Linked DNA regions of Arabidopsis thaliana. The protein of the gene in region 1 interacts with the protein of each later gene in a pairwise test. Each region holds a gene or a part of one and is shown on either strand. Other genes may lie near its edges.

What was found.
Region 2: the proteins of AT1G64625 (region 1) and AT2G41130 interact in a two-hybrid assay, tested with the Arabidopsis thaliana proteins (one large-scale study listed by BioGRID).
Region 3: the proteins of AT1G64625 (region 1) and KDR interact in a two-hybrid assay, tested with the Arabidopsis thaliana proteins (one large-scale study listed by BioGRID).

Annotation. Positions count from the first base shown.
Region 1 is NC_003070.9:24,013,668-24,019,510, reverse strand, and holds AT1G64625 (Serine/threonine-protein kinase WNK (With No Lysine)-like protein), read right to left. Parts: upstream 2,856-5,843; 5' UTR 2,634-2,855; coding exon 2,539-2,633; intron 2,353-2,538; coding exon 2,263-2,352; intron 2,170-2,262; coding exon 2,106-2,169; intron 1,966-2,105; coding exon 1,924-1,965; intron 1,865-1,923; coding exon 1,775-1,864; intron 1,699-1,774; coding exon 922-1,698; intron 829-921; coding exon 727-828; coding exon of another isoform or gene 682-726; exon of another isoform or gene 654-681; coding exon 330-653; 3' UTR 240-329; downstream 1-239. UniProt on the Arabidopsis thaliana protein: Transcription factor that may regulate root development.
Region 2 is NC_003071.7:17,141,243-17,147,085, forward strand, and holds AT2G41130 (basic helix-loop-helix (bHLH) DNA-binding superfamily protein), read left to right. Parts: upstream 1-1,914; 5' UTR 1,915-2,117; coding exon 2,118-2,411; intron 2,412-2,976; coding exon 2,977-3,444; 3' UTR 3,445-4,041; downstream 4,042-5,843. Other genes in the region: AT2G41120 (DUF309 domain protein), read right to left, coding at 212-459, 554-701, 788-1,177.
Region 3 is NC_003070.9:9,348,956-9,354,798, forward strand, and holds KDR (basic helix-loop-helix (bHLH) DNA-binding superfamily protein), read left to right. Parts: upstream 1-2,204; 5' UTR 2,205-2,615; coding exon 2,616-2,744; intron 2,745-3,363; coding exon 3,364-3,519; 3' UTR 3,520-3,878; downstream 3,879-5,843. UniProt on the Arabidopsis thaliana protein: Atypical and probable non DNA-binding bHLH transcription factor that regulates light-mediated responses in day light conditions by binding and inhibiting the activity of the bHLH transcription factor HFR1, a critical regulator of light signaling and shade avoidance.

The DNA.
Region 1 (5,843 bases):
TAAAAACAGATTGAGGATTTGATCTTTGTTCAACTTTTTATTTATATACAGTGTCTCCCCTTTATCCTCGTCAAGGATAACGGGCATCTATTTTCTGATTCAGTCAGTTAACTGTTATCCACCCAAAACGGTGTCGTTACGTTCCTTTTTTCTTTAAATGGGCCTTCTTTCTTTGTCTTAGTCAATGTTTTAAAGCCCATACAATCTTCTTCTTTTTTTTCCACGAGCCCATACAATCTTCTTTGATGTAATGTTACTACTATTTATCAACAGATTCTTGTGTTGTTGTTGTAACAAAAAGAAAGAAAATCAAAGTGGTAGGTATTATACTATGATAATAAATCATCATGTTTGGTGTGGTGTTGAAAGAGCTGAACAAGTGAGTACAAGACTTGAATCCTTGTGACTTGTGGCTTTGCCTGTACGATGAAGTGTGCCCATATTTGTCCTTTTCTTGTTTCCATCACTCCTTTCAATATCTTCAATCCCAATCCTCTCACCACTTGTCCTATCTCCAAGAACTCCTCTCTTTCCTCACACACCATCTCTATCTGCATTTCTCCTTCCCTGTTCAATTCCTCCACCATTATCGGACATACCACTCCTTCTTCCCCCACTTCCAACGCCCATGTTCTCTCTTTCTCCTTCACCAGCTGATAAACATCATTCACTCATCAATACTCAAACACTTGTGTACTTACTGAATGGATATATTTGATTCATTACCTTAGACTCGTATGGTTGTTTGAGTCTCTCTGCATACTTGGCGAGGCTTTGCATGAACACCATGTGTTTTATGGTCAGATCCAGCAACGTATCTATGCTACACTGTTTAAATATATATCGAAACTTATTAGAGAATGCATTTGTTAATCTATAATTTGGATGCCCTAAACTAAACTATATTATTATTCAATTTACCTTAGCTCCATTTGGAATCATCCCTCGCAACTCCTTGATACGGTCTTGTATCATCTGACGGTCCTTAGGCCTCGGCCTCCTGCTTTCTCCTGCCTTTGCTCTTTTCTTCTTCACACCTTCTTCGTGAGGCTTCTTCCAGTTCCCTCCAATACTTGATCTCTCATCATCATCAATCCACAAACTCCGACTTGTTACTGTCTCCTCCTGAGGGAACAAGCTTGAGCTATGCGCCGATGATGTATCAAGCTTCCGTCTTTTGCTCTGGTTCACACCAGAGTACTCTTGCACGTTCGTGAGAGAACTACTACAAGTGTTGTTGCTAAGACTGCTGCTTATGAGCTCTGAGAAGAGTCCTTTAGGTGGCAAAGCCATTGTAGGCGTTTGAGAATTCATCCCCAAAATGTCGAAAAGATCCTTGTCAACTCCTTGGATCACCATGGAAGAGCAGTTCTGTTCTGGTGGATCAGCGAGCAGCTGGTATAGATCGTCCAGAGAGTAAGACTGGAGAATGTCGAACCCATAATCATCTCCATTGGTCAGATCTTGGTTGGAAGAAGCTGCTTCAGAGGAGATCATCTCAGGGCTGAGCAAAGAAGGAGGATTGTCCTCAGCGAAGATGTCATCAAAGCTAAATCCTTGAAAAGATTCAGCTGGGAAAATCTCACAATCTCCCAGTGACTCAAACAGAGTATCGAGATCACCGGAATCATGTGGCTTTAAACACGTCTCCTGGAGAGCTCTTGTTGTTTGTTCCAATATCTCTGTGCTCTCAAGAATCTAAAGATTGATAGTAAGTAATTAGACCATGACTTCCACAACAAGAAAACATTGTTATATAATTATATATGCAAACCTTTTGAGTAGATCCTAGCTGAACAACGCCGCTGGATCCTAGTGGAATGATTGCGATAGTCTGTGTATAAGTAAACTGCCGTATAAGAATCTGATTCAAAATGGATATATGAATCCTTAAACTTGGAGAGAAGACAAAATATAAATTACCTTAAAGCCACAGAGAAACTGATTCTGAAACTCATGTTCCCACTGCAAAACAATCAAACGCACGAATATCAAATCTTTTTTCTTCTTCATCATGAAATGTTCTATGCAGTCACTATATTTCGACATACATTATAGCTCACAGATGAGAAAAATCAAACACCAAGAAAAAGAAGTGAACAAACCTGAAACAATGTGTCTGAGAACAGCCATTGATGGTTTCCGGATGAAGCTACTTCTCCCACAATTCTAATTTCATCAAAAGAAAAGTATATTGAAGATATATAAACACAAACACAGAGACAGATATATAAAAGATTTGAGTGAAGTGTAAAAGCATACCCTTGGCCTAAGATAGGAGCCTGGAGAACCATATCATCAACTAGTGCGACTGATTGTTCATCATTGTATGCTTCTTCAAATCTCAATATCCTGATGGAATTCAACAAAACTAAATTACATTTATGGACACCAAAGTAGGGAAGCCACATATAAAACCAGAGGATATGCAATTCAGTCTTTTGCCTAAATCAACGGAAAACAAAACTAGTTTTATGCAAATATTATCCAAGACAGGAACATGCATATAACATTCGAAAGAAAAAAGAGAGAAATTACATGGAATTGATGGGATCATAACGCCAAAACACAGCATAAGACCATCCATGGCTTAAACAGAGACTCTTCAATATATGCTTATACTCTGAACCCATATTTAGGAATCCAAGCCGGGAAGAGCCCTTTTAATTTCTGCAGGATCTCGAACTCTTAAAAAGGACAACAACTTTTGTCTTCTCCAGAAACCAAACTCCAAAGATAAAGAAAAGCTGGAAACAGAGGAAAAATGTGGGTTTTTGAGTTTTCTCTTTTTTTCTTTAATTTTCTGCAGATAGAAAAAAATACAGAGAAAATTCCTTTGAGTTTTGCTTTTTGTTCAAGCAATTAAAAAGGAGTTAAGAGCTTTGTCTCTCTATATATATAACCAAACAATAACATGAAATGTTTGTAATTCGATAAGAAGTGGAAGAGCCTTTTTGTCTGAGGAATTAAATATATTACTATTATTTATTTGATGTGATTTGTCTGCCGGTGTCCAGTCACGCTTTTGTCCCGGAAGTGACGTGAATTACACCGGCTATTGCCGGTTTAGTGAAAAAGTTTGCTTTGATTACTATATATTTATTTGTTGTCTTTTGAAAAATTTAGGACGGGAGAGGATCTTCGAGGGTATAATTTCCATAAAGGGAGATTTTATTTTGATTTTACTTTTTATCATCGATTCATTAAATACTCGATACGAATTTATGATATACTTTAATAGTATTCAATATATTTAGATATGATTAATTAACTAACATTTGATGAAAATTTCTATAGTGGAAACTGGTGCAATGGAAAAATAAAAATGAGGAGAATGTGATCCCCACAACAGAGGAAGATAAATGGTGCTGTGGAGTTTCTAGCGATCATCTTCTCCCTCGTATCCTATATCTTGAACATCATATTAAAGCTTAACATCGACCGTTTTTGGTTGGAAAATATGGTTTAGAGTTATAAAGAAAGAATGACCGCCTCTTTAGTGTATGGGCCAATGAGGTTCCCAAAATATGTGTCACCTAAATCTTGAATTCTCGGTATGATAATCTTGACTTAAGTAGTTCTCAAATCTCGATCCACTGCCTCATATAATTATATCAACAGTCTAACACCAATGTCGTCAGCAGTCACATACATTCGTAGAGTATGCATTCATATATAAGCCAGATATATACATATCATAAGAGATTTGTTATACCTATATTCATCCAAATGTTTAGTTGTGGTCTCTTGTGGTACCAACCTAAAAAAAATAAGGTTATGCTTCCGCCTTAAGTCTTGAGAGCTACTATCTTTTTTCTTTAATATAACTAAACATCTTATTATTATCAGGAAACCATGCATGTTTAATTTTAAGTTTATATAGAAGATCACAAGCAAGGAAAAATGTGAATGTTAAATAGACTTGAACATTAGTTCATGAATAGTATTAAACGTGTTTTAATTTGTTACTTTATTACTTTATTTTAGCTATTTATTTGTACATGGTGCTATTTTGTACCTATGTTTTGAGTTTTCAATGGATTATTTATATCTTAAAACTTTATACTATATAAACTCTGATATCAACCTTCGAATTTCATGATTTTACTGAATATTACTATGGAAATACGATATAAAATAGAATTTAGAGAACATCAAAGGCATATATAGCAAACGTTAGAAATACATGCCTCAATATTTGAGACCCATTTTTGTTACTCGCAAGTCGCGCAACATCTCACACCACACATTACATGCCTAAGCCTAAGTGCCACAAATACATCACCTTTAAAAAAAAAAAAAAAAAACTTCTCGGCCTAAGCTAATGTACATGCACTTAATACACTTTTAGCTTCTTGATAGTGGTAGAGAATATCAATAGATATCCACAAATCTTGAAATGGAATAAGTGATTATAATTACATATCAAATGAAGAAAAACTCATCAATCAATTTATTTTTTGGGGTTATTAGAAATAGCCATAATTTGGTCTCTTATACTCATCACACGCTCAATCATGGCCGTTGAGAACAAAAGTCAACGGCATCAAGATTTTCACCTTAATCCTTTTTCGTCTTTAGTTGATTTATTGTCCCTTTTCGAAACTTTCCGTTCTTATTACAATTGTGTCCGAAAGTGGTGAAATAAATCCAAAAGTTGGATTTTATGTTGTACACTTGCTTTTTGTTAGATAAGCTATTTTAAAACTTTTCGTTAAAATATGTGACTAGAGAACATATTTTTCTGTCAAAAACAAAACAAAATTCCTTTATCGCTTAAAACTTAAGAGTAACTCTAACTAACTACCATTAGTCCACATATATATGTACTAAGATAGAGATAGTGTTGGATTCATACTTTTCTTTAAATTTAGAGTATTTTATTCATAATATACATAATTTTTGTTAGATTTGATAATATATTTTTACTATGACAGTTGCAAATATGTATTGTTTATGTGACAAATTCTTTATTCAATGAGTTGTGGAAAACAAGGTAAAACTTATTATATAATCCAATCATATTTTTAAAAACAACTACAAAATATTACGAATTTATATGTCATGGTTAACCGCTAAAAACTTCATCTTTGAAAGCACACAAAATTTTTAAAATCTTTTGCATTTGACTCTTAATTTGTTCGAAAAAATAGCTATGGAGAATATGTAAACTTTTTCTATATGAGAAAAATTTGTGGTTATTAGTCTCCTTTGTTATTGCTTTAGGTTCTGTGTCTTTTGTTCGATATCTATTATGAGACCAATTTTTGTTAGCCCTATACCCTAGTCTACATAAAATAGAAATGAGTTTCAGAGTTAATTTATACTTTCCATGTTTTAAAAAGAATGATGTTTTGGATTTTTCACCCAATTTAAAAAAGAATATTTTTTATTTTTATTATAAGTTTAGTGATATTAAAACTATTTTCTTGGTTGACAAATGAAAGTAATAATGAACTTGATACGAATAAGAAGAAGAAAAACTCCAAAAATCAATTTTCTAGTTTACACAACATGCATCCCCTCGAGGTCAACATCTTTAAGACTTCATGTAATATCCGTGTTTTCGTAATTTATCTTAATTCTAATATTTAAGGCTTAACTTATTTTAATCTTTCTTATTTTTGTTATCGTATATAATGATTCACCTTTTTTCTTGGTCTTTTTGTGTTCCATTGGAAACCAAGATAGTGAATCACATTTTATTGATGGAACATCAATTTCAATTATTGTGTCATTTCTTACAAACTGGGAAAATAAAACGTACTGATGTCTTCAAAGTAAAACAACCTTTTAGTTTTAATCAAACCACCATTACATATGTACTTTTCTTTATATACTCC
Region 2 (5,843 bases), on another chromosome or scaffold:
CTTATGTAATTTCATAAAGAATGTTCCTTCGCTTTGTTCTAAAATTTCATTCATGGCTGGTTTTTGCTGGTTAAAAAGACAGGAATGTTATGTGTTTTTACCTTTTGTCTAAATGACTCATTGTTCATGTTATTGACAGGTTCAGAACCTGATTCTTGAAATATAACAGTAATGAGATCTTCTTCTATTATCTTCGTATTGATCATTCTCTTTAGAATCTGTCGTCGTATGTAGAAGCAAGAAGATGCTTATCGGTTGCGGTAAGGGTAGGGAGCTTAACCCGAGTTGGCTCAGACGATGAATGTAAAGGAGAGAAGAGTATAGAAGTTGTCTCAGACATTCCATTGTTGAAGTCAAGCACAGTCTCTAAGCTGTAAATACTCTCTCCAGCTGCATAACCACCTAAGAGTTGATACGATCTGTCTGATTGATCCATCGTCAAACACATATCTTCTGAACCTATCATCAATCAATTCAGATTTCTTGAGTGTCACAATTAGGTTCAATTTGCTAAATGGTTTCCTCAATCAAAAATTCAAAATTCAAAACTTACAGGCAGCAAGTTCAAGCTGAGTTTGATAAACGAATTCAAGAACTGCGGAGACATCTCGCTCGAATTCATGAAACGGTCCGTCTTCGAAATTCATCTTCCTTAGCTTACATACTCCTTCTCCTAACTCCATCATCGCTCCTTTATGGTTCTTCAAATCCCAAAACACTCACTAAAATTACCTCAAACGTGAACGAAAACGAGCAATAGATGGAGTTAAAAGGAGAGTAGATTTACGTTGTTGAATAGATGGTGAAATCCAACAGCACATTGAAGAATTCCATGGATTAAGGTACGAGTTGGTTCCTCTGCTTGAATCCAAAGAGCTTCAAGCGCGTCATGACTTTTGTAATAATCCCTCTTGTTGAAGAGAGTCACTGCTTCCTCAAAGCTCCAATATTCTTCCTTATCCTCGTCACTATCCTCTTCGTCTTCTCCGGCGTGGTCGTTGTATCTGACGATTGATCTTCGACTGAAACGGACGCGTATGGAGCTAAATTTTGTGGAGGCTCGAATCGTTGAAGCAGTAACAGAGATTGGAGAAGAAGGGATTAAGGAGCTGAAGAAAGAAGATGGAGGAAGCGTGAAAGATGAAGGAACCTGGAAATGTTTCGAAGAAACTGCCATTATCAAAGTCAAAGGTCGAGCTCTGTCTCTACTGCATGGTTCTGGCTTGCGCCAGTTTTGTGGTCACCGTTTTACCAAAACTTTGTAATTGGGCCACTATTTGGGTCCTTATTTTTTATATAATTTAGGCCCATATTTTATGGCGAAGCCTTCCTCATATCATATGGTTGTCTCATTCGTAAATTATTTTTCTGCAGTAGCTTTCTCTTATGATTATCAAATTTGTTGATTATTTAGGGCTTTTATGTTGTCAAAAAAAAAAAATTAGGGCTTTTGAATACTCAAGTTTTTCCAGACATTAAGTTAAAACAAATACTGTATATTATTTAATTTTTGTTAAATAACAAATTTATGTTATCGCATTGCACTGTGTGAGATTTATCCGGACAAAACACAATGATAGAAGCAGCATAAATCATATCAGGATATGCCTTTTATTGTTTATCTTTAATACCTTAGAAATGGTATCTTATCATAATAACTTAAAGGATCATTATTATGGTAGTGGTAAAACATCATTATTATTCATAAGTAAAGATTTAAAGAATGTTCAATTTTTTGAGATTTGTTTTTGAATTTTTGAATTTTGGAAATGCAGTAATATACTATATAGTCCCAAAAGTCCGTATGTATCTTCAGTTCAATTGATGGATCATATAGAACTATTTAGAATGATGATGGTGGCAAGACAATGACCTAATTAAGGACCCTTCCTAAAAATTTCAAACTCTATAGCAACTTTTTCCCCACCAATATATATATAAATACAAAAATCAAGTATTTAACATCTAAAATAAAAAAAATAAAAAAAATAATCTACACTCTCTACCCTCTCATTTCACGTATATATAATCCATCTTTTAGGACAGAACCCACCGAAAGCTCCACAAACCCCATTAATTAACAAAAAACCAAAAGAAGGCGGCGCAAACAAAAGATAATGCAACCAGAGACCTCAGATCAGATGTTGTACTCGTTTCTTGCCGGAAACGAAGTCGGCGGTGGAGGGTACTGCGTCTCCGGCGACTACATGACGACTATGCAGAGCTTATGTGGGTCTTCGTCGTCGACGTCATCGTATTACCCACTGGCGATCTCCGGCATCGGAGAAACGATGGCTCAAGACAGAGCTTTAGCTGCTTTGAGGAACCACAAAGAAGCTGAGAGAAGAAGGAGAGAGAGGATCAATTCTCATCTCAACAAGCTTCGTAACGTACTCTCTTGTAATTCTAAGGTAATATAAACTTTTGATACTTTTTCATTTGGCGTATGTATCTCTCCTCGTACATATGATGTTTATACATCTGTACGTATATATTTCTTTGAAATTTTAAGAAAAGATTTTTGAAATGGGTATATAATTAGGGTTTTGCATCTTCTCTAACCCAGAGTTTACATCTTTAAAATTTTCTCATGTTTCATTCGATTTGGTGTTAGCTCATGAATACTGTACTTTTTCATGATAACATTTTATAATCATTTGGTTTCAATTGAGTCTTTTTTGTCTTACTATTCTTACTTATTAACAAGCACATATTTATCAAAGATGATCCCTAATTTTCTACATTTATAATTCTAAAGATTGATATATATTTTGATTTGAATATTCAAAACTGGCGAGTAGTGATCAGATGAGAAAAACGAAAAGCTTCATGGCCTTTTTGTGAAGCTCGTTGGGATAGTATATCACTTTTTGGGAAAGTTCTCAAGCTTTTTCAGTTGATTTGATTTGATACAAACATCAAATTTCAACTTCTTGATCCAAACTTTTCATTGTAATTTCATGTTTCTATTTTCAGACCGATAAAGCCACACTGCTCGCCAAAGTAGTTCAACGAGTCAGAGAACTTAAACAGCAAACCCTAGAGACCTCCGACTCCGACCAAACATTATTACCATCAGAGACCGACGAAATTAGTGTTCTACACTTTGGAGACTATTCAAACGACGGTCATATAATCTTCAAAGCCTCTCTATGTTGTGAAGATAGATCAGATCTCTTGCCGGACCTTATGGAGATTCTCAAGTCTCTTAACATGAAGACTCTCCGAGCTGAGATGGTAACCATTGGTGGTCGGACAAGAAGTGTTCTTGTCGTAGCTGCTGACAAAGAGATGCACGGCGTCGAGTCTGTGCATTTTTTGCAAAATGCTCTCAAGTCGCTGCTTGAGCGGTCAAGCAAGTCGTTGATGGAACGTAGTTCTGGTGGTGGAGGAGGAGAACGGTCAAAGCGGCGTCGTGCGCTGGATCACATCATAATGGTGTGAAATGATGAGAATTGAGCACACTAAAAAGTCTATAATTGATTAATATATATAGGGTATGATCATAATTAACTTGGTTATAATTACCAAAACCTTTTTTATTCCTCTTTAATAATATATATGTTATATGGTTTTAGTTACTAAGTCTTGGGAGTGTAAGCAAATGTTGTAAGTAGGTTTGGTGTGTTCTTTTTCTTTTCTTTTTTTTTTCTTTTTCAAGAAAAAGAAAAAGATCTATATTATATATAAAGAATATTTGTCATGTTATTTTCCTCTATTTATATATATCTTTTTGGTTGTTGGTGTGATGACTAGGGTTTTGAGATTGTGGGAATATTTGTCGACGTAGAAGAATCTAAGTAACAGATGTGATTGGTGAAGTCCAAAAGAAACTAGGGTACTTCGATTTACATATACACACTATACATGTGAATATATATGTATATATAGTGAAGAGAAGGTCTATGTTTGTATGCTGTGAGTTTCAAAGCGACCCTTATGTCACCTTTGTCCCCAAATGAATCCAAACTCTCCTATCTCTTTCTTTGTTCATGTCTTTCTAAATGTGTACATTTGACCACATTTTTCAGACCAAAGAATATAAGCAGTGCCTGGTTTTCTTTCTTTCTTATATATTCGTATATATCCATGTGATTATGACGAACTGTTTTACTTTTAGTTGAGATTAATTAAGTGTTAGCGAAATGTCTAGTCTACTGTTTTTGTTGATCATATGGAAAAGACGTGCATTTATGCATGACACAAAAATGCTTAAACGTATATTCGAAAAAGTAACACTTTATATACGTTGTATATTTAGGACGCCAAATTTCATATTATGTACGGCTACATGTACAATGAAAGTGTGATGAGACTTGAGAGGATTAACCAAAAATACTGAAAACTTACTTTAATTTACTTTCTTTTAGTTTATTTTACTAATCGAATTTTGGCTCTAAAGTTTCGTGTGAATAAGAAGAATATGTTAGAATGTATAATGATGTGTATCCGTATCTAGTGAGGTTTGTACATATCTGTTATATTTATAATGAAAGTGTTTTGAAATATTGTAGAGATACTATGTTTGCTATGTATCTCTATTCTGGTTTCTTCAATAGGTATCCGTTTTGTTTATAGAAAATGGCTCACCAACTTGCCTCTATGGGAGGCTGGGGATATATGAACCAAATGACTCAATAATATAGCCAATTAGACCATTAGTAAATTGGAATATATATGAAGAAGAAGGTGAATGTGGGATTAAAGGAAGAGGAAGCGTGAGAAAAGGAGACTGACAAAAGGAAATAAAATTGATGGGCCATTGGCTCTATGAGACAAAAAGGACCGACTCTTCTCATCACTCTCCCTTTTCCCTTTCTCTCTTTTTTAATAATTGTTTTCTATAAACTATAATTTTATGGCGAATTTAATAAAATAATATTGAAGAAAACTAAGAGAAGAAGAAGAAGGAAAAAAAAAGGTGGAGAAAGTTTGTCCATGGAGCGTGATGGTTTTGGGGCAGCTGGTGTCCCCTCTATACTCAACCTCTCGACCAAAAAGTATATCTTATAGAAATATTTTTAGCTTTTGCACTATATATTATTGTTAAAGTTATATTTGTATTCAACTCAAAAGAAACTATAGAAAAACTTCTAATTTTTTTAAAAATTCCTTCTGAAGTTTATGGGTAGTGTGGCAAAAGCAATCATTAACCTCACACGTTAGTGTTCCATCGTGTGAACATGTGAGTGCCCTTTCTTATCTCACCACACAATTTTGACCATCCTATTTCCTTTTTGAATATCACTATTTTTTCTTTGTGTTTACTTTGTTTTATCTACATTTCACAAACAAGCAAATAGAAGTTATCATATTATATGTCAAATATGTGTTTGTTTTCATGTGTTCTTATTGTCTTTCTTGGTCAAGTGTTCTTGTTTACCTACACAGACAAATGTGGGAACCTTTTCACTTACTTCGGGGTTTTACCGGAAAGTTAGAAAACCTTACTAAATTATTGCTTTGCTATTAACAAAGATATCTTACTCATTCTTTAAACCAGTGTTTCATTTTGTCCATTGTCAGAACTTATATTCATTTTAACGTTTTAATTGATCTATCGTAGTAGTGAACCATCTCTAAAATAAAAATTCAATACTAATTGAAAATCTAAAACCAATAGATATTAAGAAATCATTTGTTAAATTAACTTACATCTATACATCTATATATGCGACTACTGTCTAGTTTATCTGGAATCCACAATATGTTTTTTGTTTCTCCAAAAACTTTTTGATAACTTTAAAAATCTAGTAAATGCAACATTTTCTAACCTTTTAAAGTATATTTGAGGGTTAAACCGAGAATTAAGACTTACAAGTCTTGGGATAATCACTCTATAA
Region 3 (5,843 bases), about 15 Mb from region 1:
AGGTCTCATTAATAGTAGCATATGCATGTTTTGTATTCACTCCGCCGGAATTAACCGTATCATTCTCTCAGCTTCCTATTCAAATTAAACCTTCCATGTCTCCTTTTGAATTCTGACTTGGACGAATCAAATAGTCTAATTGGATATCGATATCCAATTCCTATAGTGTTTTTGTTGTTTATTGCTTTAAATGTGTGTTCATCAATGTATTTTCATGTTACATGTGTCTATATATCAATGTATATCCGAATATGAACTATAGTAGTCGCTTCCAATTGGATGATTCTTTTCATAGTAATCCAAGAGGTTGATTTAGTTTTTTCGGTACAAGTAATCTGTCCTGTAGCTTTGGGGTTATTTTCAAACAAAACATGTATACATATATACTAATTTCAAACTTTAAAGATACCAAACCATGCAGAATCAAATTATGTCAATACAAGTCTTATAAAAGACAAATACATATTTTCATTATTTAGCTTAAAAAATTAAGAAAATTTTGTAATTTTATTTTGTTTTTAATGAATAAATAGATCAATCTTGTCCTTTTTATTTATGGTCCTCTGTAAACAATGACAGCAACGATGGCAAATAAATAAAGTATTCAGAAGTTAAAATACACACATATATATAGATCAAGACCTATATCTTGTTGACAACGAAAACAAAGAAAGAAGATTAATAGATCAAATCCGAGTTAAAGCAAACATCTACCACATAATAAATGCAATGCAAAATCAACGAACTGAATCCAATCGACAATCAAATGCCTATCTCTGCATCTACCACATGCTACGTACTCAAAATCAGATTTTTATGGAAGGTATTAAAAAAATCAGAGTTGTCAACTGTAATTACATCCAAAACATGATCCGTAATTTGGCTTCAACATTTTTTGGTGTTTTCTTGTACCATATGTCCTACACTCTTTTCATGATATAGACCACCACACTAAAGAAAAATAATAATTAATCTTATAAATGACAGTGATTTTTTTTCTTTTCACGATCATGTATAGGATAACAATCATATTATTTTCAAAAATATTTGGATGTTACATTACATCAAAGGTCAAACATGGATGTGTGAAGAACAAACTTATACATGTTCCAAAACCATTGAATTTCCAAAAAAAATCAATGTAAAAGTTTGAAAGATACAAAAAAAATGGTAAAAAAGAGAGAAGTGATTAAAAAAAGGGACAATGAAGTAATACATATAACGTGGGGATGCAATGGTGGTACTGACAGAGAGAGAAGGCAAAGAGGGACAGTTTAGTTTGGCGATAAACACACATTTTGCCATTTTAAACCCCACTTGATCCCTCTTCTCCTTTCCATGGCCCTCCCCTCCTTTTCTACGTCCCTTTCCCAATTCTTATTTTAATTCTTTGTTTTTTTCTACTTGGATGCGTTGAGCCAAAAATGTTGCAATGAATTAATTCTACTTGGCCCGATTTTGGAAAGCTCTGTAGCTTTGTGGACTGACTTTGATTTGGTTTTGATTTCAGAGAGTGCGGATCAATCCATTGTTATACGTGTTTGGATTTTTTTTTGGGTTTAGCCAAAATCGAACCGAGTGACTTGACTTAAGCATAGTTGTATTTTTTATTATATATATTTTTTTTGGTCCCATCACTAGTCACTGAAAACCTCTACAATATCCCTTAAGATAGGTTCTAATCGTCGTATCATACGACTCGTATGAGACGATACAAACACTCTTTGGTAAAGTATCACTATTGGTTTAGCACTGGATCTTAGTTATTTGATACCCTTTCTATTTAGTTTCAAAATTTGAATTCTCCATGTCACATTCATTATACAAACGTTTTTTGTTGAACAAATTTTACATTCATTCATAAAAACAAAAGAATACATTATCACAAAACATATATAATAAGATAAATTATTAAATAGAATTTTTTTAAAATAGACATACAATAAGACTAGTCGTCTGATATAGACTCTGCACATTATACGGACTTACATTTGTAAACTCCATCAACTCTTATCCATCTATTGTTTAGTCATGTTCAATATTGAGAAAAATTAAAGGAAATTAACATGTAGCCTTTAAATTTTCAATAAAGGTCGTTAAGTTGAAGACTTGAAGTTGATACTACACCATGTGAATAGCTCGAAAGAAAGAAGGTTAAGTGGAACAGGAATAAGAGAAAGAGAGCAAGGAAAAAAACTTGACGTGGGTGAGTTTTACACATATAACAATCAAGAAGTTGTTCTCGTGGGAAAGTAAGTTTAGAAGCTTACCAAAAATAAACAGTATCTTTTTGTACTAAGCGACTATGAAAAAAACTGAGAACAAATAATAATAAATATTTGAAAGCTAAAGACACCCTTATTAAAGAAACATAACCCACACCCTCCCTCCATGCACTTGTCTCTTCTCCTTCTTATTCTTCTTCTTCTTCTTCTTGATCTTCTCTCTCTTCATAAATTTGCATTATAAAAACACATCCACTTTGCTCCTCCCTCTTCAACACCTTCTTCTCCACTCTCATTCTCTCTTTCTGACACATTAACTACTTATCCTTCTTGCATTCTTCTCTCTCTCTACACCCAAACAAACACACTTATAATATATCAAGAAAGAAGATGTCTAGCAGAAGATCATCACGTTCAAGACAGTCAGGAAGCTCAAGAATCTCTGACGATCAGATTTCCGATCTTGTTTCTAAGCTCCAACACCTCATCCCTGAACTTCGCCGCCGCCGTTCTGACAAGGTATACACTTCAAAATAACAAATTTTAATCTATCTTTCTTGCATATACATACTTATTTTGTATACTTGTATAACTTAGCCTGCACATGGACTTAGAAAGTTCAAATGAATAGGAACCATATAGTATATAATAACTAATTAATATGCATGGTGAAATCCAACGGCGTGTAGACATGTGGCCTACAATTAACTATACGTAGATAAAGTAACATTAATTCACAGCCTCATTTATGCATATATCTTGTTTGTTCTTTGAATGTTTTTTTGCAATTAAATTTTACAAGTTGGTGGTGTGGGACTCAGTTTGTTCCCTTCCTACTTCCACGTACCTTAACTACATGTCTCCCCATTACTCTTCTCTACCTATATACTCACCATAATTCTATATATAGCTGAGGAATATGATAAATAAATTGTGGCCGTTTATACCGTTGTGCACATTGAAGTGGCAATCATGAGAAAAAACTAAAGTTCTGTTAAAAGTTTGAAGATATATATGAAATTGTTACAAAGAAAGAAAAAAGGCAGTAGCACATGTTGTCACGTACTCTTTGTAAGGGATATAATGATCGTTTTTTGTACTTTAAAACTAATTGTAAAATGTTTAAACTATTGGACAGGTGTCAGCATCTAAGGTACTACAAGAGACTTGCAACTACATCAGGAACTTACACAGAGAGGTTGATGACCTCAGTGACCGTTTGTCGGAACTCTTGGCTTCGACGGACGACAACAGCGCCGAAGCAGCCATCATTAGGAGCTTGCTTAATTATTAAATCCGCATTACTTAATCTGAGAGCTATTAATCATCCGTTTCCGGCCACCAAATTTATCTTATTATGGGTATCGTCTGTTTACTTCTACATCATATATTATGAGATATAGCTAGGGTTTCGGGTCATTGTTAGGCCAACTCATATATTTATATTTAATATATGGTTATGTATGTATGTATGCATGTTAATTGTATCTGAGGGTCCAGACCTGGCGTATAGTAGCCTGTGTATCATGAGATCCTCTAATATTTATGATTAATGACACGGTCCGTTTCCTTTTTTACTATACTGATCTACTGTTATAAGTTTCGTTTATCATATCTTTTTCTATAATTAACAAGCTGAGGAGATTATCGGTGTATGCTCGAAATTTCTTAGTTGAAGAAATTAAGAACAATATATGTGTATGCCAAATAAATAAGTTATACTTGGAAGTATGTCAATACAATTTTATCAAAAAAAATAAAATGGTATGTATATACAATTTAAAAACGTGGAGAAGTTGTGTCTGAATTTAAATTGTTTAAAATATGATAGAAACAGACGAAGACCTCGATGTTTTCGAAGTCGTTTAGTTTGGATTATCTGTTTTTTAATGTTATCTGTAGTATATGGTATGGTCGTGCCATTTTATTTAAATCCTCTTGCATGTGATCATTAATGTGTTATCTTCGTCGTGTATATTATAACACGTATTGACTCGATAATTACGGTATTAGTGTGGTGTTATTAATGGAGTAGATAATTTATGATTACGTGTTAAAAGTAAAATGTATTGGGATATAAGGTTACATACCTTTTCTTTGAACAGAGAAATTCTTGCGCCTGAAAGTTAAATATAATCATGTACTGTATCAGTTCCCGTTTTTTTTCGGTCATTGATTTTTTTTTTCGGGCAACACATTAGTTGTTTTTATTTATGAGCACCAAAGACTAAGTAGAATTTTAAAAACATGATGAAATATTAATTATGACTTGAAGACATTTGAAAGTGTGATACATGTTTAGGAGCTGGTAACACGTTTTTAATGATAATCTCTCAATTTAGTATAGAATAAAATATACATATTTTGTATTATTCTGACAAATCAAATAGTTTTGAGTTATCACAAACTCTACAAGAAACCCATCTAAATTATAGTATAAGAAAATACTCCGGAACGCCAACCTTTACTTAATCAACCCTAAGTTGACGACCCAAAAAAAAAATTAACCTTTAAATCATTTGAATAATGGCCATAGGCCCAAATATGTTAACAAAAGAGCCTTGGCCCAGTTCCTGGCTAGACTTCCTTTCATTTTCTGTTATTTTTTTTTTGGTAAACCAACGGGAGGGACTGCCGTCTTTATTCAATAGAACCAAAAATAAAAAATTACATGGGCACATGTCTAGCCCCAGCAACACCTGCAGCATCCTCACGCATAATCGAATCGACAAACGGAAGACCTGAGTCAAAAGAAAGAAAGCCTAAAAGTAAACTAAAAGCATAGTTTGCTAACTCGTCAGCAAAACGGTTAGCTTCCCGATAAACATGCGAAACTCGGACTATCCAGTCCTTTGATGAGAAGCCATAGCACAAACGTACTAGGAATGACAACAGATGAGAGTCTTCTATCCCTGTCGTGAGAAAACCAGCCACCAATTTTGAATCTACCTCAAGCTCCAGCCGCGTTATACCCTTCTCCCAAGCTATAACCAACCCGTAGTACACACCCCAAAGCTCTGCTAACGGAGCCGTGCACCGCCCTAAATTCAGGGCAAAACTTCCTCGCCAATCCCCGTACTCGTCCCGCAAAGCTCCTCTTTTTCTGTTATTGTAGTGTGTGATTTGGCTTGTTCTCGCAAACATATATACCAACATTAAACAATACTCAAGTTTGTCCCCCCAAAAAAACTAATACTCAAGAAAATATACAAGTTGTTTTTCCATTTCAACAATTGGCCTTAGCCATATGTGTATACTACAATTTAAGATTGCATAATACATTAAGAAGGAATAGGCTTGCAATGTGATTTTTTATTAAGCAAAAAAATGAAAAAATATATATTTTGTGTACACCTTTTGATACTAAATGAAAAATTGAGCATATTTATTTATATGCGTTTGTTTGTATGTCGTTGAATTGCACTTTTCATATCTCATGCAACATAAAAAATTCATAGAATAAATAGTTTATGCTTTTAGATAAATACAATTGAGGTTAAAACACACAAAAAAGAACAACTCGTGGTAATTTATAAAATAGTTTCAACAAAAATATTTAAACTTGTAGAATATAGACTTGTTGATTACAAAATGATTTGATAGGGAGACCAATTTATA